Linked DNA regions of Mus musculus. The protein of the gene in region 7 purifies or fractionates together with the protein of the main gene of each other region. This does not show direct contact. Links are inferred from orthologs where the notes say so. Each region holds a gene or a part of one and is shown on either strand. Other genes may lie near its edges. The genes, in order: Recql4, Ect2, Jun, Hic1, Zeb1, Brinp1 and Sirt1.

Region 1 (4,195 bases), on a different chromosome or scaffold from region 7:
GGCTACACAGAGAAACCCTGTCTCAAAAACCCAACAATCAAAAAGAGTTGCCTTGGTCATGGTGTCTCTTCACAGCAACAGAACAGCAACTACGATGTGTTGATAAAGAGTCTGGACCAGGGCTGGTGAGATGGCTCAGTGGGTAAAAGCACCCGACTGCTCTTCCAAAGGTCCGGAGTTCAAATCCCAGCAACCACATGGTGGCTCACAACCATCTGACTCCCTCTTCTAGAGTGTCTGAAGACAGCTACAGTGTACTTACATATAATAAATAAATAAATAAATAAATAAATAAATAAATCTTTAAAAAAAAAAAAAAAAAAAAAAAAAAAAAAAAAGAGTCTGGACCATTAAGTTTCACTCACCTGCTACTTGTCCCAAAGGTCCCGGTGGGTAGAGGGGTGACATTGGGGTGGGGCAATGAGGCACCTGTAGCTCTGGCGCAGCAGGCTGTGTTTCCTCACCTGCTTAGATAGGCAAGAGAGGGTGATGTGGAAGCACCAGCAGAGACAGTGACCATCCTGGCATGATGGCCTGCAGTCACATCACCCATTCCCCCTCACTCACCAGAGTGGTGACAGGAAGCAGTGCCTGTCCTCTGTGCTACTTCTTCCAAGGTGGAAATGGGCTGTTTGTCATCCCTGTCACCTTCCTCTTGGACGGTCAGGGTGGGGCCTGGACCAGGGTCAAGGGCTGCTGGAGCCTTTCATTTGTGTAAGTGATTCCCTAGCACCCACGGTGGGCAAATGACCCAATACTTAAGGGAGAGGCTTACCTGGTTGGGAACACTGGGATGCCCAGTGACCAAACTGCCCACACCGGAAACAAGTGTCCTTGTCTGTGGCCCTGGGTCCACTTCCCCCAAACGCAGCTTGTTTCTTCTTCCACTTTTGCTTCCATACCTGGGGAAGGGCCACACATGGAAGAACCATTCAGGAGTAGACGGGAAGAGACAGGAGGAGGGGAGGGGAGGGGAGGGGGAGGGAGGAGGAGAGGAGAGGAGAGGAGAGGAGGCTGGCCTGTTCCATTCAGCACATCTCACCTGCTTACGGAGAAGCCTGCCCCGATTGGCCCCAACTCGTACAAAGCGTTTGTTTTTCATGTTGAGTCGAATATAGTTCCCTCTGTCTAGGGAAGCTGGTCGAGGAGAGGCATGGAGGTGGGTTGTGCCCTTAGCCTTCTCTGTCCTGGCCTGGTTTGAGGAATTGCATGGCTGAGGGACATTCACTTGTGTGGGTTCTCCTGGAGGGTCTTGCCCATGTACTGTAGCCCTGGCTCCCTCAGACAGGGGTCCTGCTCCGCTGCTGGGCTGGTCTTGTGCAAAGTCCTCCCCCTTCTCATTCCACTTCCGCTTCCTGCCTTTACTGTTGATGGATTTGGGGCTCTGTGACAAAACCTGGGCTGGCTGTTGGGCTATGGCCTCTGGGCTCTGTACAGATACTTCTGACTGGATGTCAGGATCAGCGATGTTCACCTTGCCTGACATCTGAGGCTGTGACTCCTCTGCACTCAGGTCAAGCCCACAAGCACCCGGAACCTCTAGAAGATCTGAAACTCTGTTGTGACACCTCTCTAACCAACCAGGGTCTAGGGAAGTCAACCTCCGGCTGAGGGATGATCGGAGCTGCTGGAGCTGGCCCAGCCTCGGCCGGGGCTCAGGAACCCGAGGAAGTGCATCGTCAGCTTCGTCTGGACAGGGGGATTCAGTCTTTGAGCCTGGTGGCCTTGGGGCAGGAACTGTGGACAAGGATCTCTTCTGAAGCTGGAGTTTTCTGCTCTGGGTTGGTCCAGTCTAGAAAGACAGAACAGCAAATCGGAATTCAGGACCTGGGTTACTGCAGAAGTTTGGGACAGACAATAAGAGTGGAGATGCCTGAGCACCGTTAGGAACCTAGTCCCAGTTATTACAGGAGCGTACGTGCGTGCTATAAGGAAGGGTGGACATAGAAGGACCCTGGCAAACCACCCAAGGGCCAAAGGCAGTTCTGGGTTCACCTCCACGTCTTACCTGTGTTGTGTTTTTCAGATTGGCTTTGAGCCTCTTCCCATAGTCTTGTACAGAACTCAGTAGGCTCTGTTTTGGCATAGACTGCGTATTCTGCGTTGCAGCTCGACTCAGGTGGGGACCCCAGCAGCTTGGCTCCTGTGCCTGCAGTAGATAGTAGCAACCTAGACCAGTTTAAAAGATGGCATGGGCACAGAAGTGCCTCTAAAGCTTCCCCTAACCCCCATGGGAGGACCTGGCCACCCAACTTCTGTGCTCCATGGAGGCACGGCTGCAAAATGCTCTCGGTTCCTGCCATTTGGACCACAGACCGCTGAGAGTGGGATTCACTGATACCTCCTCAGCTGCCTCGGCAAGTGATTGCTCTAGGACACGATGTCTGTCGTCAGCCTGACGCACCGCCTGCTTTAGGTTACGGTACTCACGGTAGAGCGCTGGGAAGGCAGAAGTCGGCGGTCAGGGGCATACCCACTAACATTCGCCCTGTCCCTGGTCCACCAGCCCAGTGCTCACCGCGGGTCTCTTCAGGTGCCGCCTCCACATCCCCCTAGGAGAGAAGCTTGTCAGCAACAGGCTGCGCCAGGATCCCCCACTTGCCGCCCCTGTCCGGACCCTAACTCCACCTCACCTTCGCTGGCCGTCGCCCGTGCAGCCGTGCAAAAGCGCGTTCCCACTCCTGTAGCCGCGCGCGAACGGTCGCGAGCCGCTCCATGGCAGCCCGAACGTGAGTTTAGGGGAAATCTCCCGCCGCCACCGTAAAGTCCTGTCCTTAGCCAATGAGAGCGGCCGCCGGGCGGTGCTGCAGATGCTCTGAGCCCCCCGGGGAGGGGGCGGGCCTATGAGTTGTTGCGTCATCACAGCGCGCCCCGGCGCTGCGCGGAGCTGGGCGAGGCTTGCTGGGCGAGGAAGGGTTGCAGGCCTTGGTAGTCGGGGAGGCGGATGAGCGGGGGCCGCGGGGCTGGGATTCGAGTCGAGCTGAGAGTCAAGCAGCCGTTAGTGGTCAGGGCACTTGGACGGCAGGTTCGACGGGGACTGGCGCTTGAAGACCACGGCTGAGGCGGATTCTCGGGAGGTGCCGCCGGCGCGCGGGGATGGGCCGCAAGCGAAGGGAGACCTAGGGGCGGGCGAGGCCGGTCTCGGCCTGTGGCTCCAGGCTCGCCCGGGTCAGTTGATGTTCCGGGCTTTTTGTTTTCTCCAAGGATCCGAGCGTGCGCGTCTGTATGCCGCAGAGACCGCTGTGTCCTGTGTGCAGTAGCATCACCCAGAAGCAATCCTTGCTTGGAGGCCAGGCGGGCTGCCACCGGTTCCTCTTATGACAGGTGTTTGGTTGGCTTGTCCTGTCAGTTAGGCAGTCCTATTATCTTAAGCTAGAGCCAGATCAAGGACAGTCACGCGGGGTTCCCCAGGGACGCGTGCCTTAAGGACTCGTAGGAGATGTTAGAAGCAAGCAAACCCTGGGCTTCATCAGTCTTTCTGGTCCCCAGTCTTGTCCCTTGCTGCGGCTTTGCGTAAGGCCTAGGCCCTGGTTTTCCATTCTGTTGTGGGCTGAGGACTGTAGCATAGTTCTGAGGGTAAGGTGTTTTGCCCACAGGAAGTCTACTGACCCAGGATAGCAAGAATCATTCAGGCTCAGGATCTTTTGTATGTGGCTTCTCAGCTGGAACGCTTTAGCAGTTTTGGCTTGGATCGTTATGAATCTCGTGAATTTAAGACATGGTTTCTCAGTGAAGAGGAGGTACCCGAATAGGAGACAAGGACCACAGAGGGTGAGAGTTGCTCTTCCTCAGGGATTTCTCTGCCTAGTTATACCCTAGAAATCCGCTATCTCTGGAGTTCAAACTCAGGGCCTTGGTCTCAGATGCTGCACACCATCTGTTCACAGGATCCTTTAAAAAACAAAAACAAAAAAAAAACCCCAGAGCCTGGCACTCACTAAGCTGTGTTAGACTTCTTTAACTCCAAAGGCACATCTACGTGGAGGGTCAGGATGTTAGGCTACTGGCTCTGGAGGAATCCTCTGTTGTCAGTCTGGTGGGAAGAGAGGTCTGGGATTTACTTCACTTTAGAAAATATTTACTTTCCCTAGTCGTAGGAAAATACACCATGTGCATGTGAAAGCTTCAGGTCAAAAGGGGGCACCTGCATCAGTTCCATGTGGCTGTGACATACCATGTTGGTTCTGGAAACCAG
Region 2 (3,500 bases), on a different chromosome or scaffold from region 7:
CAAATATCAAAACATAATTGCTTTGTAATTGAGATGCTAAAATAACATTTTAAAATTACAATGAATGACCATGTGGAGGCCAGGGCAGCTGTGGGAGGACTGCTCTCTCCAGCACAGGGTCCCTGGGACTGAACTCAGATAATCAAGTGCTCTCTATCTCCCTGATCTGCATCTTACAGATACTCACTCGTGTGTTTTGAACACTTTCACAACCACAACTCCACCAAATTTAAGTAAATGCCTCATCATAGGCTCTACAAAACAGAATTGAACAGGTGAAAACCAGTTTTGTAAGTTACTGTGCACTGGAGAAGTGGCTCAGGGATAGGGGAATTGACAAGTAGGTGCAAAGCCCTGGGTCTGATTAGTAGCAACACACAGGAGAAAGAGGAGCTGCTCATGTCTTACAAACTCAGGAGCAGATCACCTAAAGCACTTCATTTATTTAAAGAAAAAAGAAAAGATTTCCTAAACCAAGACCATGACCACACAACACTAGTACTGCTTAACTAGAAAGCACAACTTAAGGTAGATGTGTAGTGGGGCCTTTTCAGACCTACAGAAAAATCAAATACTAGTCAAGTTAAAAAAGGAAAACTTTCCCTTGGGACAGGATGTCACCAAAAGCGTTTACAGGCTCAGTCTCCAGCTGGGCAAGAGTGGGAGGTTCTAGATGGCTAAGGACATGCCATTTCACAGCTCAGCCATGAGGCCCCATCATGTGCTCTCAGACATGATGAACCATGTCACCACCATTCACAGCAGTGAGACCAAAGAATGGATTGAACTCTCCAAAATCATCAGCCAAAGTATCTTTAGAAATGCATTATCTCAGGACTCTTGTTGCAAGAGAAAACTAGCACACATGTACACATGCCTACTTGTATTTTATTATTTGTTTTTGAGTGACTCATTACGTACCTATAACTGGACTCAAACTCAGAAATCTGCTTTCTTCTGCCTCCCAAATGCTAGGATCGGAGTGAGCCAAGACACCCATCTTTTTCATATGTATGTGTATGTACTTAATCCTATGCCAAGTTACCAGATACTGTGGGCTATTTATTTGATATACATCTACTAATAATCTCTCTTTTCTTTAAAAAAAAAATGGTGTGATTGTCTATTCCTATGCACACTCTCATGCTAGAGTATGTGGACTTTAGTGAACAAATTGTGGGAATGAGTTCTTTTCCTCCACTATGTGGGTGACAGAGACTGAACTCAGGTCACTCTTGGCAGCAGGCACCTTTACACATTGGACCGTCTTGTAATCACTCCCACAACCCCCTTCCCAAATCTTAAAGACATTCCTGGAGCAGGAGAAATGGCTCAGTGGTTAAGACCTCATAGGCTGCTCTGCCAGAGAACCTGGGTTCATTCCCAGCATCCACATGGCTCACAGCCATCTTAACTCCACTCCCACGGGGATGTGTGTCCTCTGTCGGCCTCCGTGAGCACTGTATGGATGAGGCACACAGACATGGACACTAAATAAACATCCATACATAATGGGAAAAAGAAAGAACCCAAAATGCACCATTGGTGAAAAAAAAGTATTAAAATATATGGTCCTGAATAAAACTGGTCGTTTATGTTGGATTTTGAAGAATTATTAGTAAGTTTTGATGTGGGAATAAGACAAGCTAAGGTGCTATTTTAAAGCATAGCCATGTAAAAGTTGTTTGACTTTTAAGAGAGGATATTCCTCAAGATGGTGTAACACTTTCATTAGAAACCATGAAGACATCAGTCTGCACCTAGGGAAGGAGCTGATGGGGAGCCACGTGTGAAGAAAATGGATACATTAATGTATACATAGAGAAATTACAGTAATAAAGCTAAGGCTCAACGAGGACAAGCGAGTTAAGTTAAGGAACGCTTCCTCCATGAGCTTACCTTCTGTCTCTCGGATGTCCAGCACCTTCTTAATCTGAGAAAGAGGCATGAGATGAATGTGCTTCAGAGAAGCGGGGGGCCGGGTGCGGTCGTGAGGACTTCTAAAAGTGCCAATAACCTTGTGCCGCTTTCTTGCTATCTGATTGTAGGGGGAAAGTCAATCATTATTGTAATAAAGCCAAATTTCAAACATTTAAAAATAACAGCGTCAATCACATAAATGTATAGGCAACTAATCTGAAGATTAGCCATGCCAGTTACTATGCAATAAAAGCAAGAGACTGACGAAAAAGCACACATGTAATTATGTAGCCAGATGCTCATGTCCATATTAGGAAAGTTCACAATCAGAAAAGCAGGCCTAGGGATAGAGAGCGCAGAGAGACTCCAGAGCATGAAAGGACAAGACCACGAGGGACAGCAACAGAGGTCTAGAATAACAGTCCCAGCCCCACAGGGGAACAGTTGTTCTGGGGCAGGAGTCTAGGGCTCAAAATGGTGTTAATTTTAGTTTAAGTTAAAAAATTTGAAATCTCTCCTAGTAACAGAACACACAAGAAGTGTGAGATCGGTCCTGTCCTCAGGCTTGCTTACAGAAGCCTGCCAAAGGGAAGCTGCAGAAAGATAAGCATCCACCCGAAACCCCAGCTCTAGGGGGCACTGCAGGAGAGCGGGACTTTCAGTTCCAGGCCACCTCGAGCTACACAGTGAGGCTGTCTCAACAGATCAACAACAGCAACAACAACAACACACACAGAAGCAATAGGAATTATAAATCCACAGTGCTGTATTAGGCTATAACTTTACCTTAACTGGATACCCATGCAAAAGGAAGAAATAGGGAACTGGAGAAGAGCGAAATCAGAAAGAGCTTGTGATTCGTGATATAGTGAGATTTTGCCAAAAGGAAAGAAAAAGGAAAGAAAGAAGAAATCTCCTTTGCAGTAATTCAGATTTTACTGAAAGGCATTATTAACACTAAATGAACATAAATATGTACTTGAATTGAGATCGGTCATCATGAATATGAGAGACACAGTTAAAAATGTATTACCTGGTATTGAGCTAATGAATAAGATAAGGTAGTCAGTATACTACAACTACACTAAAGCAGACACAGATGTGTCTATTCCACATGTCACACATATATTATAATAAATTATATACATATCTTATATATAAATTATATATGCATTTGTGTATAAAACAAATACAAAGGCTCACACACATATCGTGAAAAGTAAGCAGCGGATACTGATTCCTGTGCAATGAACAGATATGCTTTCTTTTTGTTTGGCTAAATGAAATATATTATTTTAAGATTAATTTTTAAAAAGGAAAGAAGAGTATTAAAATTGATAGTACAAGTACTAATAAACCAAGGATAAAAATAAAAACCCAAAGCACAGATAAAATATTCAAATGGAAAATAAATTCCTCAAAGTCATCTGTCATATTTAAGAAAATACAGATGTACTAATATTCAACTGTTCTTAATGTACAGGTATAGTGATTGCTCTTGGTTTTATATTATATAGAAGTATTAAAAGTAACTTTTTAATTTCAATTTTACTGAATTTTATTTTTCTTAAGTGAGTGAA
Region 3 (4,020 bases), on a different chromosome or scaffold from region 7:
TTCCTACAATCAGACAGGGGACACAGCTTTCACCCTAGTATATTGGGCACTCAGCTGTCACTTCATCTAGCTATCATTATCTATGGATAATGCAGCAAAGAGGTTGGGGGCTACTTTTCAATAGTTTATTGTATTTTCTTAAATATCCTTTCTGGAAATTTTCAGAAACAAAACATAAAAAAATTATATACTTTATTACAAATGGTAAACTCAGAATGCTTCAAATCTCTTATTTACAAACACTGGGCAGGACACCCAAACAAACAAACATGGAATAACTTACAAAGGCAGGAAGCTGTTTATTGACAGTAATCAGCTTTCATCAAATTAAAAAAAAATATATATGTACATACACAGTTGAGAGAGGCAGGCCAGGGGAGTTCATCTGCAGTCTAGCCTGGCACTTACAAGCCTCCCCCCCCTTCCCAGCCCTCCCTGCTTTGTGTTAAGGAGCACTACAGAAGCAATCTACAGTCTCTATTGCAGTTTGTAACCCCTCCCACCCCCCTTTAATACTGAATGAGATCGAATGTTAGGTCCATGCAGTTCTTGGTCAATGTTAACGAAAAGTCCATCGTTCTGGTCGCGCGCGGGCACAGCCCGTCCGCAAAGTCTGCCGGCCAATAGGCCGCTGCTCTCTGGCTCCACGCCAAAGCCAGGCGCGCCACGTCCTTCCCACTCCAGCACACTGGGGGCGCCGTCAGGTCGCAACCCAGTCCATCTTGTGTACCCTTGGCTTCAGTACTCGGACACTTTTTTTTTCTCTGTCGCAACCAGTCAAGTTCTCAAGTTTGTCTCTGTTATTTTTTTTCTTCCATTGCCCCTCAGCCCTGACAGTCTGTTCTCAAAACGTTTGCAACTGCTGCGTTAGCATGAGTTGGCACCCACTGTTAACGTGGTTCATGACTTTCTGCTTAAGCTGTGCCACCTGTTCCCTGAGCATGTTGGCCGTGGATGCCAGCTCGGAGTTTTGCGCTTTCAAGGTTTTCACTTTTTCCTCTAGCCGAGCGATCCGCTCCAGCTTCCTTTTCCGGCACTTGGAGGCGGCAATGCGGTTCCTCATGCGCTTCCTCTCTGCCTTGATCCGCTCCTGAGACTCCATGTCGATAGGGGACAGGGGCGGCGTCTCTCCCGGCATCTCCGGCACGGTCTGCGGCTCTTCCTTCAGGGCTTGCAGCCGCGGGTGCTGCACCGGGATCTGTTGGGGCAAGTGGTGCGGCGGCTGAGGCGGCTGCTGCTGCTGCTGCGGCTGCGAGGGAAAGGCCAGCCCGGCCGCGCCATAGGAGGGCGCCCCACCGCCGCTGCTCAGCGCACCCGGGTTGAAGTTGCTGAGGTTGGCGTAGACCGGAGGCTCACTGTGCAGGCTGGCGCTGTAGCCACCACCGCCGCCAGCGCCTGCTACTGAGGCCACCGCGGGAGCCACCATGCCCGCCCCGCTGACCGGCTGTGCCGCGGAGGTGACACTGGGAAGCGTGTTCTGGCTATGCAGTTCAGCCAGGGCGCGCACGAAGCCCTCGGCGAAGCCCTCCTGCTCGTCGGTCACGTTCTTGGGGCACAAGAACTGGGTGGGGGTCGGTGTAGTGGTGATGTGCCCATTGCTGGACTGGATGATCAGGCGCTCCAGCTCCGGCGACGCCAGCTTGAGCAGCCCGACGTCGGGCGACGTGAGAAGGTCCGAGTTCTTGGCGCGGAGGTGCGGCTTCAGACTGCCCACCGGGTCGGCCAGGTTCAAGGTCATGCTCTGTTTTAGGATCTTAGGGTTACTGTAGCCGTAGGCACCGCTCTCGGACTGGAGGAACGAGGCGTTGAGGGCATCGTCGTAGAAGGTCGTTTCCATCTTTGCAGTCATAGAACGGTCCGTCACTTCACGCGGGGTTAGCCTGGGCTGTGCGCAGAAGTTTCGGGGCCGCAACAGCGCGCCGGGAAGCGGGGGGATACCCGCGCGTCCCCGCTTCTGTAACAAAGTTTGTTTAGGAGCGTGCGCTCCAGACGGCAGTGCTTCCCCCTGAGCCCTCCTCCCCAGTTCGCTCCAGGGAGCGCAGGGTTAAGACTCCGCTAGCACTCACGTTGGTAGGCTCCCGCGCGATGCCGAGCTTTGAAAAGTCGCGGTCACTCACGGAGCGCTCTCGGGGAGCAGCGGTTCCTTGGAGCCCGCAGACCAGTCCCAGCAACAGCGGCTCTCCGGCGGTGCTGACCAGTCGTCACGGAATTCTCGGTGGAAGCCCGCGATCGGGCTCTGCCGCCCGGCCTCCGACAACTGTCCCCTCCTCCGCTGTGAGGGGGAGGGGGACGCTAGGCAGCCGCGGCTAGCGCTCGCCCAACTTCAGCCGCCTGTGCGAACTGGTATGAGTATAGGTTCCTCTTCTCCCTTTTCTTTACAGTCTCGGTGGCAGCCTTAAGGCGCAGAAGAGATTTGCAAAAGTTCGCTCCCGGCCACTTGTTACCGGTCCTCTGGGTCAGGAAAGTTGCTGGCCGGTAGCCGCTCGCCTATTTCCTCGCGCGGTCGGGAGCCGCTCTCGATGCTGTCAGCAGCGCCCGGACTTGTGAGCTTCTTCTCCGTGGAAGGCGGGAGAAGGGACTCTCCAAATGCTCCCCAAAATACCGGTGCAGGAGCCGCGGGCGCTGGATCCAAGCAGTTGGTGAGAAAATGAAGACAAACGGATGAACAGTCCGGAGTCCGCGGCCGACCGGGTTGGCCAAGTCCGTCCGTCTGTCTGTCTGTCTGCCTGAGCGCTCTCCTGCCAGGCTGTCTCTGCCACACTCAGTGCAACTCTGAGTCCTTATCCAGCCTGAGCTCAACACTTATCTGCTACCAGTCAATCCCTAAAAATAGCCCATGATGTCACCCCGAGGCTTTCCCATTGGCTTGCGTCGTTCTCAGGGGGGCGGGCCCACCCGTCGCCATGGAGACCTCACCCTAGAAGATTCTTCTCTGGGCCCGCGAAGGCTCACGGGATGAGGTAATGCTCCGCTGCGCTCCTACAGTTGGGCCCTTCTTTCTCCTCCTCCCCCCCCCCCCTCCCGCGCTCAGCTTCGGCTTGTGTTCCCGGGTTCCCTCCCCGGCGCGTCTTTCCCGGCCCGCCCGGTGCATTGTGGGCTGACGTCTTGGTTTGGCTGTCTAGTGACGGAGGCTGCCGGTCGGCAGGACCCTTGCGGAGTCTGTCGGAGGCGGGCTCAAGTTCAGGGCTGGGGACTGGGACCGAGACGCGGGGATCCAGAAAGCAGGGGAGGCGCGCTAGTGGCCGGGGGCGGAGAGCTTGGGTGGGAGTGAAGGTTGCACACAGGCGCGCGCCCGCGCGCGGGCACACACACACACACACACACGCACGCACGCCCGAGAAAGGGCTGAATGATCTGAGTGACTGAAGCTGGCTCCGCACCCCCGCACTTCCGGGGGACAGAGCGATGCGGGTTAAAAGGGTTGTGTGCGCCCTGGGTGTGGGAGCACGTAAGTGCGTTGAAGTTGAGCGGGTTTGAGAGTAGCCCTCCAAGATGAGTATGCTTGGAAGTTTAGTTTCGGAGAAGGATCTGCGCCGCAGTGTGCTGTACCTGGAAACCAGAGATTTGCGGTGTTCGGAACCGACTCATCAGGGTCCCCGGCACAACACTTTATTCTCTGGACGTGCCGGGGGAGGGGTGTTCGCTTTGCCTCCGAGGGACCCCTCCTCTAGGTGTGAAAGATGCTAGCCCAGCGCCCATGGGGTGTCGAAAGCAACATATAAAGGTTCGAAACTCAGGAAACCTCGGCGATCGCCTGCGCTAGCACATACACACGGTCCCGCGCACACTCAGTCTGCGCCCGCCCTTCCTCCCTCCCTGATTTGCTTCTGGGAAAACAAGCCTTGAGAGCTGCGGACTCGCCCCAAGTCACGGTGCTTAAGCAGGAGTCCCTGGTAGAAACAGGCTGAAAACTCCCCTCCCCGCTCACTGGTGGAGTCATATCCTGTGCGGCCTCTAGGAAGCGCTAGACACATGTAAGTTATTTCTTTTCTAAGGTTCTGCTATCAGCCCTCCACCCTC
Region 4 (4,120 bases), on a different chromosome or scaffold from region 7:
TGGGACTCCTTTCTAAAGGAGTCAGAATAGACTAAAGGCAAATACGATATGGAACAGGTCCTCCAAAACAGCCCGATTCTGTCTCCGGGCTCTAAATGGGGTCGTCATGCGTTCACGGAGAGGAGGAAGCTGCACCAGGATGACCAGAGGAGCTCAGGAAGAAGGGGAAAGCAAAGTTAAGAGGAGGGGCATGGTGGTGCGCATCCTTGTACGTGGGAAGTAGACGCCTTTGTGAGTTCGAGGCTAGCCGTAGACTTGAAACTGTGGTGGTGGTGGTGGTGGGGCGTGGAGGAGAGGAGAGGAGAGAAGGGGAGGGGAGGGGAGGGGAGTACACAGTGAAACTTGGGCAAGGTTTATGTGGTTGGCCCCATAGCGATACAACAAGGGCTTGAGTCGGTGGAGAGGGATAGAACAAGAAGGAACTGAAGACCCAGCCGACCTCCTTATGGGTCAACCAGCGGATAAACTCCATTGTGTAAAACACATACAGAGCTTTCTCTCCAGACTCGCACGATCTAACCCCATTAAAAGGAGAAAACATTTAAAACAGAGACATCAGAGACACCCTTGCTTGTGGGAGAACTCAGAGTTGTCAAAACTCATCCCTAAGAGCACTTCTGGGGAGCCTTCTTATCCTCAAACGCTCCGTTACACTTCCGCTTCAGCCCCAAGGCGTATCCCTCGACAGAGATACCAAGGTACCTCTTCACTTCTCCTAGAGCTCAGAAATTGTGGAGTCCACCGTGGGACTGCAGTGTTTGTCTTGTATGGACACTGTACGGAGATACGAAGTAGTAAGTGGATTAGATGGAGGCGGAGCACACTGTCGCGGAAACCTGGTGAGCCTTGAAGACTCTTTGGACCAGAAGCCTAGGCCAGGCATAGAAGTCTCCTGCCAAAGAAACGCAGCCTCTAGGAGGCGCCCAAGACCTTGGTGTCTCACTGGTACAGCTAGAGGCCCGGCCGGCTGCCCCGGGCGAGTGACTCAGCCACTACCTCAAGCGGGGGAGTGGGGGCTCGAAGACAGCGTGGGGTGCGGCGAGCGTAGCCCCCACCCGCCCTGCGCCCCGCGCGGTTGCTAAGCTCTCCAAGGCCTCTGAGAGATGAGATCCCGGGAACCTCATTGGTTACCATAGTAACTCTGAGCCCCAGCCTCTCCGGCTTGGCCACGGAGGATGGCGCAGCCAATAAGAAGCTGTGGGCGGTTTGGGGGGACCCCCCCTATAGCGTGGGCGGGGGTCAGGAGGTGCGGGGAAGAGGCGGAGCGTGGGCCACGGAGGCGCGGTGCTTGCAACGGTGCTTATGCCTCCGCCCCGCTATGCAGGGACATTTCCGGTGAGCACCCAAGAGCTGGTGCACGCTCCCCTCCCTCCTAAAAGAGGAGTCACCAACATGAATGAGCTCTCCCTTGTGTGGCGTGTAGGATCTTTTTTTGAGGGGGTCTCAAGCCGCCCGTTCTCGTGATATCTCTCGAATGGTGTATTGGGGGGGGGCAAACTAAGATCCCTCAAAACTGCTTAGATGGGGGATTGGGGACTTGAGGGGCACGTCGCAAGGGGGCTCTGTCCAGCTATTTCCAATGGAGGGCTCTAGGGTCCTTCTGGAGACCCGCAAGTTCGGGGAGGGCTCTTTGGTAGGACCTCTACCCCGTTTCACGTAGTAGCCTCCGCAGTAGCCCAAGAAGTTGGGACTCCGGGAGGGGGTGGGCGGTCTGTGTAAACATGGCGCGCCCTTGTCACTGCTTGGACAGAGTTTGAGTGTGGACGGTTTATGATGTGCATACTGATAACATGTGTCTGAGGGAGAGTTGGAATGTGTCTCTCTCCACTGAGTCCAAGTGAATAATGGTGTTCAGAAATGTCTAATAAAAGCCGCCCCGCTCCTGCTCCGAACGTATGTACCTTCATCTCACTTAGGATTTCTAAGCTCGCCCTCTCACAGAATACTGTTCGTAGTGTTCCACCCCAACCCCTTTTCTAAGATAGGGTCTCAGGTAGTAGAGGCTGACCTTGAACTCCTGGTCCTCTTGCTTCCAACTCCTGGGTGCTATGCTAGGATGATTACAAGAATGCGCCACCATCCCTGGCTTAAGAGTTCCTCATTTGAAGACAGAACCTTCCCCTCCCCCCCCCCGAATTGGCGCGATATAACATATAAATATGTACTCGGGAGCACTCAGCACAAAACCCCCAGGTTTATGGGACTCCCAGGTCCGATATCTGAGTCTCCAGGTGGGCACATCTGGAAGCGCGCGAACCTGCAAGATCTGCTCAGCTCCGCATCTGCAAGCCTCTTGGCCCAGGTGTGCGCCAGAGGTCGCAGCCCAGCCGCACACAGTCCCCGCGTGGCCGCGAGGTGGCGCCATGGCCGCGGCAGCGTCTGCCGGTTCGGGCCGCTCCAGATAAGAGTGTGCGGAAAGCGCGGAGGGGCTGAGACGCGACCAGGACGCGGGGAGGACGGACCGGCAAGACAGACCGACCGGGGGCCCGGCGGGCGGAGGGCAGCGCACTGCAGCCACGTCCCCCCCTGGATCCGCCGGCAGCCGGGCCCGGGGCTTCCGACATGCCCCCCAGGTGGGTCCTCGAGTTGGCGACAGGGAAGGGCAAGGGACCCGGGACAATCTGGTCCTCGTGCGCCGGCTACCTCGGGAGCATCCTCAGGCGTGGGCGCCCGGGTCGCGGCTGGCGTTTGGGGCTCTAAGTGTCTTCCCTAGAGGACTCGGGACGGCTGGGCCGCTGCTCGGCGCCGGGTTCACGGCGGGGTCAGCGGCCCGGGGCCGGCTCTGCCCGCACATGGGCTGGGGAGGAGAGGGGAAGGCAAGGGGAGCCGGCGGGCGGGGCTGGCAGGGGCGCTGCCCTGGCACAGCTCGGCGCCTGGCAGCGGGGCGGGTGGGGCGCAGGCTAGGAGCTGCCACCGCCTCAGGGAGGGAAGCCGGGCTGGGCGGCCGCCGCAGGTAACGGGCCGGCGAGGCCCTGCGGGCCAGGCGGGGAACAGGGGCGGGCGTGCTCGCCGGAGGGCAGGGCGGCTTTAGATTTGGTGTGGGTCCCCACTGCCACCAGGCTGCTGAAATTGGGGGCCCAGAGGAGGAACTGGGGGCCAGGGAGGGGGGCTGGGGCCGGCGCGCTCCTCCCGCCCTGTCTGAAGTTGGGAAAGTTTTCCCCGAAGTTTGAGGCGGCAGAGTTTCGGGGGAGACGGGGCGGAGGGGAGCTGGGGAAGAGATGTGGAGCCGAGGCCCCGGCTGGGTCCAGAACGCGGGTGGGGCGCAGGCCAGGGTCAGGGCCGCAGCCGGCTGTGCGCCGTGCCCGCCCGGGGCGCTGCCCCCTCCCTCCCCTGGGAGCTGCGTGGCTCCCCCCTCCCCCCCACCTGCTTCCTGCCTCAGCCTCCTGCCCCGATATAACGCCCTCCCCGCGCCGGGGCCCGGCCTTCGCGCTCTGCCCGCCACCGCAGCCACTGTCTCCGCTCCCCGGGCCGGGCCGGCCGGCCCTAACGAAGGCCTGACAGCCCCGGGCCAGGGCGGTGCCTCGATGGGCATCTTGCTCCCGTCTTCCTTATCACTTCCCCTAACCGGGGCAACTTCTTTCGAGGCGGGAGGCGCTTCTAACTCGGCTCCTTGTCTCCCCACTTGGGCAAACTTCTCGGCCCTGAATGACTTTTCCTGAAGCGGACATTTTACTTAAATCGGGTAATTGTCTCCGAAAGGGTCATTTCGCCCTAAACAGATTTCTCCCTGGAAGTTCCCAGGACCCAGCCTGAGTGCCCAGGAGCATCTGGGGCTGGAACAGATAGGCTAACCTGGCCTACTCTCCATCCACAGCCTTTCTCCTCCTGCACCTTCTGTCTGGGGCCGGCGGGCCTAGGCTTCCACTCCCGGAGGCCGCTGATCCTCCTCGGCTACTGTTCAGGCCGTGGTGCTCCATGCCCCTGATCAGCTGAGGGGAAGGGGAAGCGGAGGGGAACCGACTGGGTTGGGTACAAGAGGCCAGGGCACCGCACTGCGTAGCTCTTACCCAGCTGGTGTGTGTCTCCCGCAGGAGAGTGTGCTGGGCAGACGATGCTGGACACGATGGAGGCGCCTGGCCATTCGAGGCAGCTACTGCTGCAGCTCAACAATCAGCGCACC
Region 5 (3,500 bases), on a different chromosome or scaffold from region 7:
GTGTTCCTCGCCATCTCTTTCGACATCACCAGGCAGTCCCACACGCCCACAGATACGACAGAAGATAGAGAATAAACCCCTTCAAGAACCGCTTTCTGTAAACCAAATCAAAACTGAACCTGTGGATTATGAGTTCAAACCCATAGTGGTTGCTTCAGGAATCAACTGTTCAACCCCTTTACAAAATGGGGTTTTTAGCAGTGGTGGCCAATTGCAGGCAACCAGTTCTCCTCAGGGTGTGGTGCAAGCCGTTGTTCTGCCAACAGTTGGTTTGGTATCTCCCATAAGTATCAACTTAAGTGACATTCAGAATGTACTTAAAGTGGCTGTAGATGGTAACGTAATACGACAAGTCTTGGAGACTAATCAAGCCAGTCTTGCATCCAAAGAGCAAGAAGCAGTGAGTGCTTCGCCCATCCAGCAGGGTGGCCATTCTGTCATTTCTGCCATCAGTCTTCCTTTAGTTGATCAGGATGGAACAACCAAAATCATCATCAACTACAGTCTTGAGCAGCCCAGTCAACTTCAGGTTGTTCCCCAGAATTTAAAGAAAGAAATCCCAGCCCCTACAAACAGCTGCAAAAGTGAGAAGTTACCAGAAGACCTTACTGTCAAATCAGAAACGGACAAAAGCTTTGAGGGGGCCAGGGATGATAGCACTTGCCTTCTGTGTGAGGACTGCCCAGGGGACCTCAATGCACTTCCAGAACTAAAGCACTATGACCCAGAGTGCCCTGCTCAGCCTCCACCCCCTGCCCCAGCCACCGAGAAGCCAGAGTCCTCTGCTTCATCAGCTGGAAACGGAGATTTGTCTCCCAGTCAGCCACCTTTAAAGAACCTTCTGTCACTCTTGAAAGCCTACTATGCTCTGAACGCGCAGCCAAGCACAGAAGAGCTCTCAAAGATCGCCGATTCTGTGAACCTACCGCTGGATGGAGTTAAAAAGTGGTTTGAAAAGATGCAAGCTGGACAGATTCCAGGACAGTCTCCTGACCCCCCTTCTCCTGGAACCGGGTCAGTAAACATACCTACAAAAACCGATGAGCAGCCTCAACCTGCGGATGGAAATGAGCCCCAGGAAGACAGCACACGCGGACAGAGTCCTGTCAAGATAAGGAGCTCTCCGGTTTTACCTGTAGGATCAGCCATGAACGGTTCCAGAAGCTGCACATCATCCCCATCCCCTCTAAACCTTTGCTCAGCCAGGAACCCGCAGGGTTACTCTTGTGTGGCAGAGGGTGCCCAGGAGGAGCCCCAAGTAGAACCTCTTGATCTCTCACTACCAAAGCAACAGGGAGAGTTACTGGAAAGGTCGACAGTCAGTAGCGTTTACCAGAACAGTGTTTATTCTGTCCAGGAAGAACCCTTGAACTTGTCTTGTGCAAAAAAGGAACCACAAAAGGACAGCTGTGTTACAGACTCAGAACCAGTTGTAAATGTAGTCCCACCAAGTGCCAACCCCATAAACATTGCTATTCCTACAGTCACTGCCCAGTTACCCACAATCGTGGCCATTGCTGACCAGAACAGTGTTCCATGTTTAAGAGCACTGGCCGCCAACAAGCAGACTATTCTGATTCCCCAAGTGGCATATACATATTCAGCTACTGTGAGCCCTGCCGTGCAGGAGCCGCCAGTGAAGGTGATCCAGCCAAACGGAAACCAGGTTAGTAAAGCATTAACCTAAGTTTTTTTAGTGAAGAAATCTCTGTCTCTGTAGAATCAACCAGATTGTTACAGCTGCCATGTTTAAATGGAACTTATGGGTTTGCTTTCCTTGCATGGCAGGATACCTTCCTTCCCTTGCTACTCAGCTGCCTTAGGGCATCAACCACAGTTGAGAGTGTATTCTCTGAAAACCAGTGCATGAACTCAGCTGGAGACCTGACTGAGCTTAGAAGCATAAGACAAAATGTGTTACTCATTAGTTAGAGTGGTGGTTTTCTAGTTAAATTTTCAGATTGGTGAGTTTCTTCTTTGCTTATGATCACTATTAAACAACCATGTTCCCATTCACCATAAAGCCAAGAAAGGGTTTGCTGGTACTTCGTGTGCCAACTCCTTTGTTAGGAGTTAGGTTAACCTTTGGTTAAACAGAGTATTCTGGAACTCAGATACAGTGTTTGGTTGTAGGTACTCATGAGGTGTGCCTGTGGCCAAGGAGTGCCACACCTCATGAGGCCTGGCTTTGTTTGGTTCTGGGTAGAACTCTGCTGTATTGCTATTTGTTTCTCACTGTCTATCCAGAATCTTCCCATGACACTAGGCTTGATATCGCCACTTTTTCATCAGTCCCTTTAATTGGATCAAATGCCAGAGATGGCTGTTTGATCTTACTGCAGGCACAGCTACAGTTGCTCTGTGTCCTGCTCAGGTTTGCCCTGTGGCCTCCTGTGACTGCCACTCACTCATTGGCATCTCCAGAATTGTAGTAACTCATAAAGAAACCATGCCCATGACTAATGGCACTAGATTTCTGGGGTGTGTGTGTGTGTGTGTGTGTGTGTGTGTGTGTGTGTGTGTGTGATGTATACTTGTGTATGGACAGGTGTGTTCACCCATGAGTGTGCATGTAGAGGCCAGAGATTGACAGTGACTGTCTTCCTAATCACTCTAATATTTTGGGGACAGGGTCTCTCCCTGAACCTGGAGCCTACCATTTTGTCTAGACTGGCTGGCCCCACTATCTGCCATCTTCCCAGCCCTTCTTGATACCTTTGAATTTAAAGAAAACAGAGCTTTTACCATTTCAAGTGACTTGGACTATATCAAGAGCTATAAAGTAGAGTCACTTCTACACTGGCAGCTAGTGATAAATGACTGGCTTTGCTTGTCATATCGAGCTTTCAAAAGAACAGAGTCTATGAGACTCTAGGAAAGACCCAAAGGTCATAGGTGACCTAAGTCTTCAAGAGGCTCTCTGCAGGACTATTCCATTGAGAAAAGCGCCTTTTCTGAAAGTGACTTCTCTGAGACCATCTTGAGGTTCTATGTCATGTCTTGTGTATTTTATGAAAATTGTAAGGGTTCTCTTTTACAGACAGCTACTCCTATTTAAAAATCTCAGCCCCTCTCACACTTTTCCTCCTCATTCCAGGGAAAGTATGGACCAAAGCAAATCCCTCTTCGCCAGACCAAGGGAGCTGGTACAAAGGCCTCCAGGATGAAGGACACACTTTAAAGACATTGTCTAAACTATGTCTCAATTCTTAGTGAAACGCAGAATTTTTATGAAAAGCACAGTAAGGGCTGGTGAGATGGCTCAGTGGGTAAGAGCACCCAACTGCTCTTCCGAAGGTCCGGAGTTCAAATCCCAGCAACCACATGGTGACTCACAACCATCCATAACGAGATCTGACTCCCTTTTCTGGAGTGTCTGAAGACAGCTACAGTGTACTTACATATAATAAATAAATAAATCTTAAAAAAAAAAGAAAAAAAGAAAAGCATAGTAAATGATGAATTGGAAATGAGTGGTGAATTATCAAGCTCATTGATTA
Region 6 (3,500 bases), on a different chromosome or scaffold from region 7:
GCCAGTAAAGATAGAGATATTTCCAGCATCTCTGATGTTTCTGTGAGCAATGTTGGTGCACATGAGCATGGCTTAGTGAGCAGCATGCCTGAGTGTTCATTTGTAAGCACATAGTTGTCCATAAAAGCATCTATTTAACATAGATTGATAGCATTGTAGTTAATTCAGCAATTAACATAGGATAATATATAAATAACTCAGTCGGTAAGGCCACTCTAATGAAGAGACTCATTTTGTAAGAGATTATTTGGTGATATCGATCTGAGTGCTGGGTAGTGGGAAAATGGCATACACCGGTATGAAGCTAAGTATGTTGGTTATCTGCGTTCAGATGGTCTCTATCATGGTTCTGCTGACTTGAAAATCTAAGTGCACCCTCACGCTGTACCTTGATTGCTCCAGTTGAAATCTGGATCTCATGGAGCCTTCTCATGGTGCCATCACGGTCGACAAAGTAGGATGATGCAAGCTGGTGCAAAGCTTCAACACTTTGGGTAGCATTCCCTGACTTCCGGTCCAGGCGACTTTTGTCCATGTACATGGTCAAAGCCTCCTCTCCTGCATGGGAAAGCACAGATGAGAAAAGTTGCTCCCATTTCAGTGTGGGGGGAGGGGTTCCAGATCTGGGACGCTGAAAACAGACTTATGCTCCAACCAACTGGTCCGAATATCCCTGTACCTATAAAATCAAGGGCACAGTGGAGAAAATTGAATCCAGAAGTTGTTATAGATCCCATTAAAGCAATCGCCATAAATAATGCTCAGCAATCAAAGGCCATTTCCAAATAAACCGTACATATATATCAAGGGCATCGTCTTACCTAATGAAGTCATCTACTTCTAAGAAGTTTATAAGGGATTTGGCATAGATATTTTTTCCTTGCTCTTCTTATGTTTCCTCAACACAATTTAATTCTTCCTTTTCCCTTTCTCTACTGTTTTCCGGTCACTTCTTCACATCCTCCCTTCTCTTCTCACAGTACTCATTTTTAGACAGATAAATGACAGGTGATCGATATATAGATTAATGATAGGCAGATATAGGAAAGGGGGTGAGTACACAACTAAATACTTAGGTGGATTATGGAGAGAGAGAGAGAGGGAGAGAGAGAGAGAGAGAGAGAGAGAGAGAGAGAGAGAGAGAGAGAGAGAGAGAGAGAGAGAGAGAGAATGTTTTAGGTGATTGATGGACTGATGAATGGGCAGTAGGATTAAGATATGGTACAGCTGGGCCCTCAGGTAGTACTATGTCTAATTTTCTGAGGAACCGCCAAACTGCTCCACCATGTAACAAGGACACATGCTCCACTATGTTCATAGAAGCCTTTGGGTCCCCAGGAGCCCAAGTCTTGAGAATGAGACCCTGAGAAACACAGCTTGACTACAAATCACTGCAATGACAAAAAGTTTTTATTCCAACACGCATAGGGTTGTTCAGCCTTGCAGGGAGAGTCAACCCCGATTGTCAAAAGTACAGCTTCTTTATACTCTTTTGAAAAGGGGGGGTTCACAGTGATATCATTATTGGCTAGCAAAGCAATAGTATATGTCTAATTTTAGTGATCAGTTGTTGATGTACCAGAAAACGTTGTCTGCAAAGTTAGGGCAGTATGCGGTTTATCTTGGAATTCAAAGTGAGGCATGGATTCAAAGGACTATTATCTGTGTTATAGCTAATTTTTGAGAACTGCTAAGCTTGCTCCAGCAGTTGTGGTCATCATGACCTCTTAGTCAGTCCTCTCAGATGGGGAAGGGGCCAGGTGGTATTGAACTATTGAACTTGCTTATATTGGCAGGGAAAGGAAATATTTCTCAAGCCACAGGGGGAAGGGAAAAGCTTTTGTAAACAGCTTTGGTACACATTAGCCAAGCTAAAAAAATATATTTCTTCACCTTATTTTATAATAGCCAGAAGCTGGAGAGAACCCAGATGTCCATCAACAGAGGAATGAATACAGAAAATATGGTACATTTACAAAATGGAGTACTAATCAGCTATTAAAAGCGATGAATTCATGAGGTTCTTAGATAAATAGATGGAACTAGAAAATATCATCTTGAGTGCGTTAACTCAATCACAAAAGAACACACATGGTATGCACTCGCTGTTAAGTAGCTATTAGCCCAGAAGTTCAGAATACCCAAGATACAATTCACAGACCACATGAAGCTTGAGAAGAAGGAAGGTCAAAGTGTGGATACTTCAGTCCTTCTTAGAAGGGGGATGAAAATTCCCATGGGAAGAGATACCGAGACAAAGTTTGGAGCAGAAACTGGAGAAGAAGGAAAGGCTATCCAGTGACTGTCCCACCTGGGGATCCATCTCATATACAGTTACCAAACCCAGACACTATTGTGGATGCCAACAAGTGTTTGCTGACAGGAGCCTGATATAACTGTCTCCTGAGAGGCTCTGCCAGTGCCTGAGAAATACAGAGGTGGGTGTTCATAGTCATCCATTGGAAAGAGCACAGGGTCCCCAATGGAGGAGCTAGAGAAAGGACCCATGGAGCTAAAGGGGTTTGCAGCCCCATAGGATGAACAATAATCTGAACCAACCAGTATACCCATAGCTCCCAGGGACTAAACCACCAACCAAAGAGTACACATGGAGGTACTCAAGGCTTTGGCCACATTTGTAGCAGAGGATGGCCTTGTGGGACATCAATGAGAGGAGAGGCTTTGTGGTTTTGTGAAGGCTTGATGACCCAGTGTAGGGGAATGCCAGGACAAGGAAGCAGGAGTGGTTGGTTTAGTGAACAGGGGGAGGGGGAATGAGATAGGGGGGTTTTCGGAGGGGAAATGAGGAAAGGGGATAAAATTTGAAATGTGAATAAAGAAAATATCTAATAAAAATAAAAAATATTACCTTTCAAAAAAGATATGGATGAATTATATCTTACAGATATAAATACAATTATATGAATTTATATACTTTCTTCCATGAATTTTCCTAGAAATCCATATGTAGATTCCTAATACTACTCCTATGACTACTGAGCTATGATGATATTGGATGTACATAATAATCTAGTTCAATGTCAGATTGTGAAAAATTCTAGATAAGGTCAGCATGTAGACATGGCTACCACATTCCTGCCTCCATTTTTTTTGCTGACGCAACATGACCACATTTCTTAATTGTCCATCTTAAATATGTCACCCACTTTAATCATTAGTAATGTGGGAAAAATAAAAAAGAACAACAAACCCAGCAACAAAACTACAATTAAAATTCCCGTTGGGATTATGAGAAAGAATGGAGTAGTTAGGATACAACAACTCTCTTTATTTCAATTTAACACTCAAAAATCAATTAGCATTTGACTCTGCCTTCAGCTCAATGCTAGAACATGTTCTAAGAATGCACAAAGCAAGCCCCAAATTCAACCCCAGCCACCACAAGGGAAAGCTGGAAGATGAGAGAAGTAAGATGAGAGATGTGGTGGGTGAGAAGTCAGAAGACAAAATAACAAACCAAAGAGACAAAACAACCAGTC
Region 7 (4,131 bases):
AGATGGGAGGACGTGGTGAGCGACTCAAGGATTACCATGCAGGAGGCCAAGAAAAAAAAAATCTTACCAATACCTGAGCAACTAAATCTAAATGGTAAAGGTGACAGAGAATTTAAAGTTGGTACAAAAGCAGCTGTTGGGGTGGTACCAAATAACTATAATCCCCAGCATTTAGACACAAGATCAGAAATTCAAGGCTAATATGTGCTGGCTGGCTACCCAGCCAATGAGTTCAAGCCAGTCTAGGCTATACGTGTTCCTGTCTCAACAAGCAAGCAGACGAACGACAACAACCACAACAAAACAAGCAAGCAAAACCCCCAAAGGCTGTACACAGAAAGCAAAAACAATGTACAGAAGAAAAGAGGTGAGGACCTAACCTCAGGCACTGACAAACGGACATGGTACATACAGCACACCTATAATCCCAGCACTCTGGACTGCTGGTAAAGTCAGGATATCAATGTCATCCTTACATCCTAGACTCCACAAGTTTAAAGCCATCATAGGATAGATGAAAATGTCAAAAAAAAAAAAAAAAAAAATCAAGAAAAGAGAGAAGGAAGAGTAAGTCAAAAAGAGCTTTGGTTGTGATGTACTCCAGAGGCTGGGCAGAGACTGCAGAGTAGCTTAACTAGCTTGGGCTATAAAATATCTTGTCTCAAAAAGGAAGGACGGACAGAAGGACGGAAGGAATGAAGGAAGTTTGCAATTGTTTCAAAGATGCACATGCCTGAAGCATACCTATCCGCGGCCGCGGAGTCCAGTCACTAGAGCTGGCGTGTGACGTTCTGTCATCGTCATCACTTTCACAGGAATGAAAGCCATTAGTGAGGAGTCCATCGGTCAACAGGAGGTTGTCTGTCAAAGAGATCAAAAGGCTGCGGCTCAGACAATCCCCAGCTGGGCCCTGCGGTCCACACCTGCAATCCCAGGTACTTTGAGGCCCGTTTGGCCTGTATGGTGAGACACACACAGGTTCTTGAGACAAAAACAAAAAACCAGAAAGGCACAGAAGCACACACATCTGTAACTCCAGCACCTGGAAGGCACAGACATTGGAAACCAGCCTGACATATATAAAATAGTGAGTTCCGGACCAGCCTGGGCTAAACAGGGACCCTACCTCAAAAAATCCAAAATGAAGACACACACACACACACACAAATAAAATCTGTGTAGCCCTACAAAAGCAGCTCAGGGTTCCATGCCCAGGACAAAGAAATACAACTTCATGAAATGCATCAAATAGAAATTACTTCTAAATATCACTGAGATAAAAATCAATCCCTGGCTGTGTTCTCACTGCCCCAACCAGAGAAAGTCTCTTTCCGTAGCCCTTTCAAGTAGCAATCTACCTGCTTCAGCCACTGGGTGTTAGTAAATGTATGATTTAAAGAACACGAAGCATACTTTATGCGACTTGTTTCCCCTTTAATACCTGACATCAAGGGTCATTTCCTATTTCAGTCCCTAACACGTTTTGTTGTTTTTTAATTCATGGCACCATTATACGAGCCACAAACATCTACAAGGGCACTGACAGACTCTGATAAATTCTGTACAAAGCTTTTCAGGAAGACGATAAGTGGCATTATTACAAAAACAAAACAAAAAAGTAACCCAAACGTTTGGCGTCAATAGGGCAAAACCAAGCAGGTTTGTTTCAGGTTTGTTAATCTAAAAATGTTGCGAGCATGATTTTGAAAGGAAAAGAAAACTTACGAAAGTACAGTACAACTATAACTCCTCTATATCGAAGTGATAAATGCAATCGCAGAAAAGCAACATTTTTAGGAATAGCCATTTCCTTACATTTTTTAGACTGTGTCTCAAGAAATAGCTTTGGTGTATTAAAATTTCTAACTTCAAAAAAAGACATAGGTCTATCCAAAAAAGAAAAAAAAAAAAAAAAGCAACACAGGTGTCAGTTTGCAAAACGAAATCGCATGTCGATCCACGGGACAGCCCCAAAGTCGCAAAGCAAAGTGTGCAGTGAGGAAAACTATAACTTCACTAAAGGCGCATCGGGAGGGAAACCAAACCGAGGGAGGGAAAACTTCACTCTAACGCCAAACTGCGAGAACCGCGGTCCCGGCGACTGCGCGCAGCAGCGCAAGGCGGCCCAGGCGAGCGGCGAGTCCGCGCGCGGCTCCGCAGCAGGGCCGGCGAGCTCGGCGGCGCGCGGCCGAGCCAGGGCCGAGCTGCGCCGCTGCCGCCGCCGCCGCCGCGGAGCCCGCGGAGCTCTCGGGGCCCTGGGCAACCTGGGACCGGGTCACAGGCGGGGACGCGGAGGGACGCGGCTGCGCGGCAGCGCGCGCGGACTCACCTCGGTAGCCGATCGCTGCCGCCGCCGCTGCCGCCGCCGCCTCGTCCTCCTCCTCGCCCTCGTCGTCGTCGAAGTCGTCAGCCGCCCTCGGCTCCCGCCGCAGGCCGGACCCATTGTCTCCGTCCCCGGCCACGGCCGTCGCCGGGGCCTCCCGCTCCGCGCTCGCCGCCGCCCCTGCCGCCTCCCGCCACAGCGCCGCCGGGGCCGCGGCGCTCGCCGCCTCACACCCCGCGGCCGCCGGCGCCACTGCTGCGCTCGGCTCGCCCGGGCTGCGCCCGAGGCCAGGCCCGTCTCGGCGGGGCCTCTTGCGGAGCGGCTCGTCCGCCGGCTGCGACGCGGCCTCCATGGCGGCCGCCGCGGAAGGGGAGCCGGCGGCCTGAAGGGCGAGCGCCACCTCGTCCGCCATCTTCCAACTGCCTCTCTGGCCCTCCGCCCTCGCCTCCTCTGCTCCGCTCGACGCGCGGCACTGGCGCCCCCGCGGCTCGGCTGCGGGAGATTTAAACCCCGTCACGTGACCCGCCCCTCCCCGCCCCCGCGCCTCTCCCGCCACCCACGCGGGCCGGACCACAACACGCCGGGTCACGTGGCCGGGCGCCGCCCGCGGCCTGGGCCCTTCCCGGCCCCACCCAGGGCGGCTCGGCTCCCCTCAGCGGCCTCTGGCGCCTCCCGCCCGCCCGACCCGTTCGCTCGCTCGCTCGCTCGCTCGCTTGCTCGTCCGGGATCGCCGCGGTGGTTCAAGTTTGCGATGGCGCCGCCACTTCCCACCTGGGCCTCACGCGTGCACCTTGCCTGCCTGCGCCTCTTCGCCTCAAGTCGGCTTTTACCTCAGGGGCTCTGGAGAGCCCAACCTGGCCGACGCCGGCCTTCCTGAGGAGAACTCCTCCACCTGCCTTGCCCTTGCTCTGTGACAGCTCTTCCTCAGGTTACCCCTGTGGTCTCTCCTCAGGAAGTTTGCGCTCTCTCCCAATCTCCCTTCTCAAGTGCAATGGAATGCCCAAGCCAGCCCTCGGGGCCTGTTGCCCTCCTGGAAAGATCTGGCGATTGAGGACCCGCCCTATCTGCTCTCTGGACCCACCAGGTCCTCTGTACCTCGCTTTAGTCTTTGGTAAAATTCATCTCTTGGGGCAGCAAGAGAGAGGACAGAAGGGAGAGTGGTTGGTTCTCCACAAACTTCTGTGTTAAGAGTCAGATTGGGCCTGGGCTCTTGTGACTTGGGCGATTGACTGAACCTTTTCTAAGCCCAGTTTTTAATCATCTCTAAAATGACAGGGCCAGGACCGAAAGAGACTGTAGCTCAGTTGTAAAGTCACGCTTGCCAGACAACCCCGAAGCCCTAGAGAGAGGGAGGAAGGAGGGTAAGTTGAAGGTAATCTCCAACTACTTAGGAAGTTCAAAAAAGGCCTGGAATACATAAGACCTCGTCTCAAAAACGAAATTTAAAACGATAGACCATGAGAAATCAGCTAGTCAGGTTTAAAGTAAATGACATTAGTTTTAAAATCCTAGGCAGTTGATGGTGGCACAGGCCTTTAATCCCAGCAAGCTGGAGGAGACAGGAGGAGGTTCACTAGGACAGCCAAGGCTACACAAAGAAACCCTGTCTCGAAAAAATAATCTTACTTCTAGAATTGTAGAAATGGCTCTGTAGTTAACAGCACTTGTTGCTCCTGCAGAGGCCCTAGGTTTGACTCCCATCATCCACATGACAGCTCATACCTTCAGATCTGACACCTGCTTTTGGTAAACACAGACATGTATGGAGCCAAAAGACCCAAACACATAAAAATCCTCTTTGTTGTTGT

What was found.
Region 1: the proteins of Sirt1 (region 7) and Recql4 purify together in Homo sapiens (affinity purification with mass spectrometry; 3 studies listed by BioGRID). This does not show direct contact. The link is inferred for Mus musculus from reciprocal best matches to the Homo sapiens genes SIRT1 and RECQL4.
Region 2: the proteins of Sirt1 (region 7) and Ect2 purify together in Homo sapiens (affinity purification with mass spectrometry; 3 studies listed by BioGRID). This does not show direct contact. The link is inferred for Mus musculus from reciprocal best matches to the Homo sapiens genes SIRT1 and ECT2.
Region 3: the proteins of Sirt1 (region 7) and Jun purify together in Homo sapiens (affinity purification with mass spectrometry; 4 studies listed by BioGRID and IntAct, with this or other methods). This does not show direct contact. The link is inferred for Mus musculus from reciprocal best matches to the Homo sapiens genes SIRT1 and JUN.
Region 4: the proteins of Sirt1 (region 7) and Hic1 purify together in Homo sapiens (affinity purification with western blotting; 4 studies listed by BioGRID and IntAct, with this or other methods). This does not show direct contact. The link is inferred for Mus musculus from reciprocal best matches to the Homo sapiens genes SIRT1 and HIC1.
Region 5: the proteins of Sirt1 (region 7) and Zeb1 purify together in Homo sapiens (affinity purification with western blotting; 4 studies listed by BioGRID, with this or other methods). This does not show direct contact. The link is inferred for Mus musculus from reciprocal best matches to the Homo sapiens genes SIRT1 and ZEB1.
Region 6: the proteins of Sirt1 (region 7) and Brinp1 purify together in Homo sapiens (affinity purification with western blotting; 6 studies listed by BioGRID and IntAct, with this or other methods). This does not show direct contact. The link is inferred for Mus musculus from reciprocal best matches to the Homo sapiens genes SIRT1 and BRINP1.

The regions. Positions count from the first base shown.
Region 1 is NC_000081.6:76,707,760-76,711,954, forward strand, and holds the start of Recql4 (ATP-dependent DNA helicase Q4), read right to left. Parts: upstream 2,801-4,195; 5' UTR 2,718-2,800; coding exon 2,634-2,717; intron 2,553-2,633; coding exon 2,519-2,552; intron 2,440-2,518; coding exon 2,342-2,439; intron 2,170-2,341; exon of another isoform or gene 2,150-2,169; coding exon 2,009-2,149; intron 1,793-2,008; coding exon 1,043-1,792; intron 903-1,042; coding exon 776-902; intron 676-775; coding exon 568-675; intron 468-567; coding exon of another isoform or gene 465-467; coding exon 366-464; intron 1-365. UniProt on the Homo sapiens protein: An ATP-dependent DNA helicase which unwinds dsDNA with a 3'-overhang in a 3'-5' direction. Does not unwind more than 18 bp of dsDNA. May modulate chromosome segregation. The N-terminal domain (residues 1-54) binds DNA Y-shaped DNA better than ss- or dsDNA.
Region 2 is NC_000069.6:27,115,879-27,119,378, forward strand, and holds part of Ect2 (protein ECT2), read right to left. Parts: intron 2,039-3,500; coding exon 1,900-2,038; intron 1-1,899. UniProt on the Homo sapiens protein: Guanine nucleotide exchange factor (GEF) that catalyzes the exchange of GDP for GTP. Promotes guanine nucleotide exchange on the Rho family members of small GTPases, like RHOA, RHOC, RAC1 and CDC42.
Region 3 is NC_000070.6:95,049,423-95,053,442, forward strand, and holds the start of Jun (transcription factor AP-1), read right to left. Parts: upstream 2,801-4,020; 5' UTR 1,850-2,800; coding exon 845-1,849; 3' UTR 1-844. UniProt on the Homo sapiens protein: Transcription factor that recognizes and binds to the AP-1 consensus motif 5'-TGA[GC]TCA-3'.
Region 4 is NC_000077.6:75,167,456-75,171,575, reverse strand, and holds the start of Hic1 (hypermethylated in cancer 1 protein), read left to right. Parts: upstream 1-1,320; 5' UTR 1,321-2,056; coding exon 2,057-2,573; intron 2,574-2,929; exon of another isoform or gene 2,930-2,953; intron 2,954-3,423; exon of another isoform or gene 3,424-3,645; coding exon of another isoform or gene 3,646-3,682; intron 3,683-4,031; coding exon 4,032-4,120. UniProt on the Homo sapiens protein: Transcriptional repressor. Recognizes and binds to the consensus sequence '5-[CG]NG[CG]GGGCA[CA]CC-3'. May act as a tumor suppressor. Involved in development of head, face, limbs and ventral body wall.
Region 5 is NC_000084.6:5,766,360-5,769,859, forward strand, and holds part of Zeb1 (zinc finger E-box-binding homeobox 1), read left to right. Parts: coding exon 1-1,666; intron 1,667-3,500. UniProt on the Homo sapiens protein: Acts as a transcriptional repressor. Inhibits interleukin-2 (IL-2) gene expression. Enhances or represses the promoter activity of the ATP1A1 gene depending on the quantity of cDNA and on the cell type.
Region 6 is NC_000070.6:68,828,898-68,832,397, forward strand, and holds part of Brinp1 (BMP/retinoic acid-inducible neural-specific protein 1 precursor), read right to left. Parts: intron 559-3,500; coding exon 389-558; intron 1-388. UniProt on the Homo sapiens protein: Plays a role in neurogenesis and brain development. May suppress cell cycle progression in postmitotic neurons by inhibiting G1/S transition.
Region 7 is NC_000076.6:63,336,236-63,340,366, forward strand, and holds the start of Sirt1 (NAD-dependent protein deacetylase sirtuin-1), read right to left. Parts: upstream 2,801-4,131; 5' UTR 2,736-2,800; coding exon 2,330-2,735; intron 862-2,329; coding exon 745-861; intron 1-744. UniProt on the Homo sapiens protein: NAD-dependent protein deacetylase that links transcriptional regulation directly to intracellular energetics and participates in the coordination of several separated cellular functions such as cell cycle, response to DNA damage, metabolism, apoptosis and autophagy.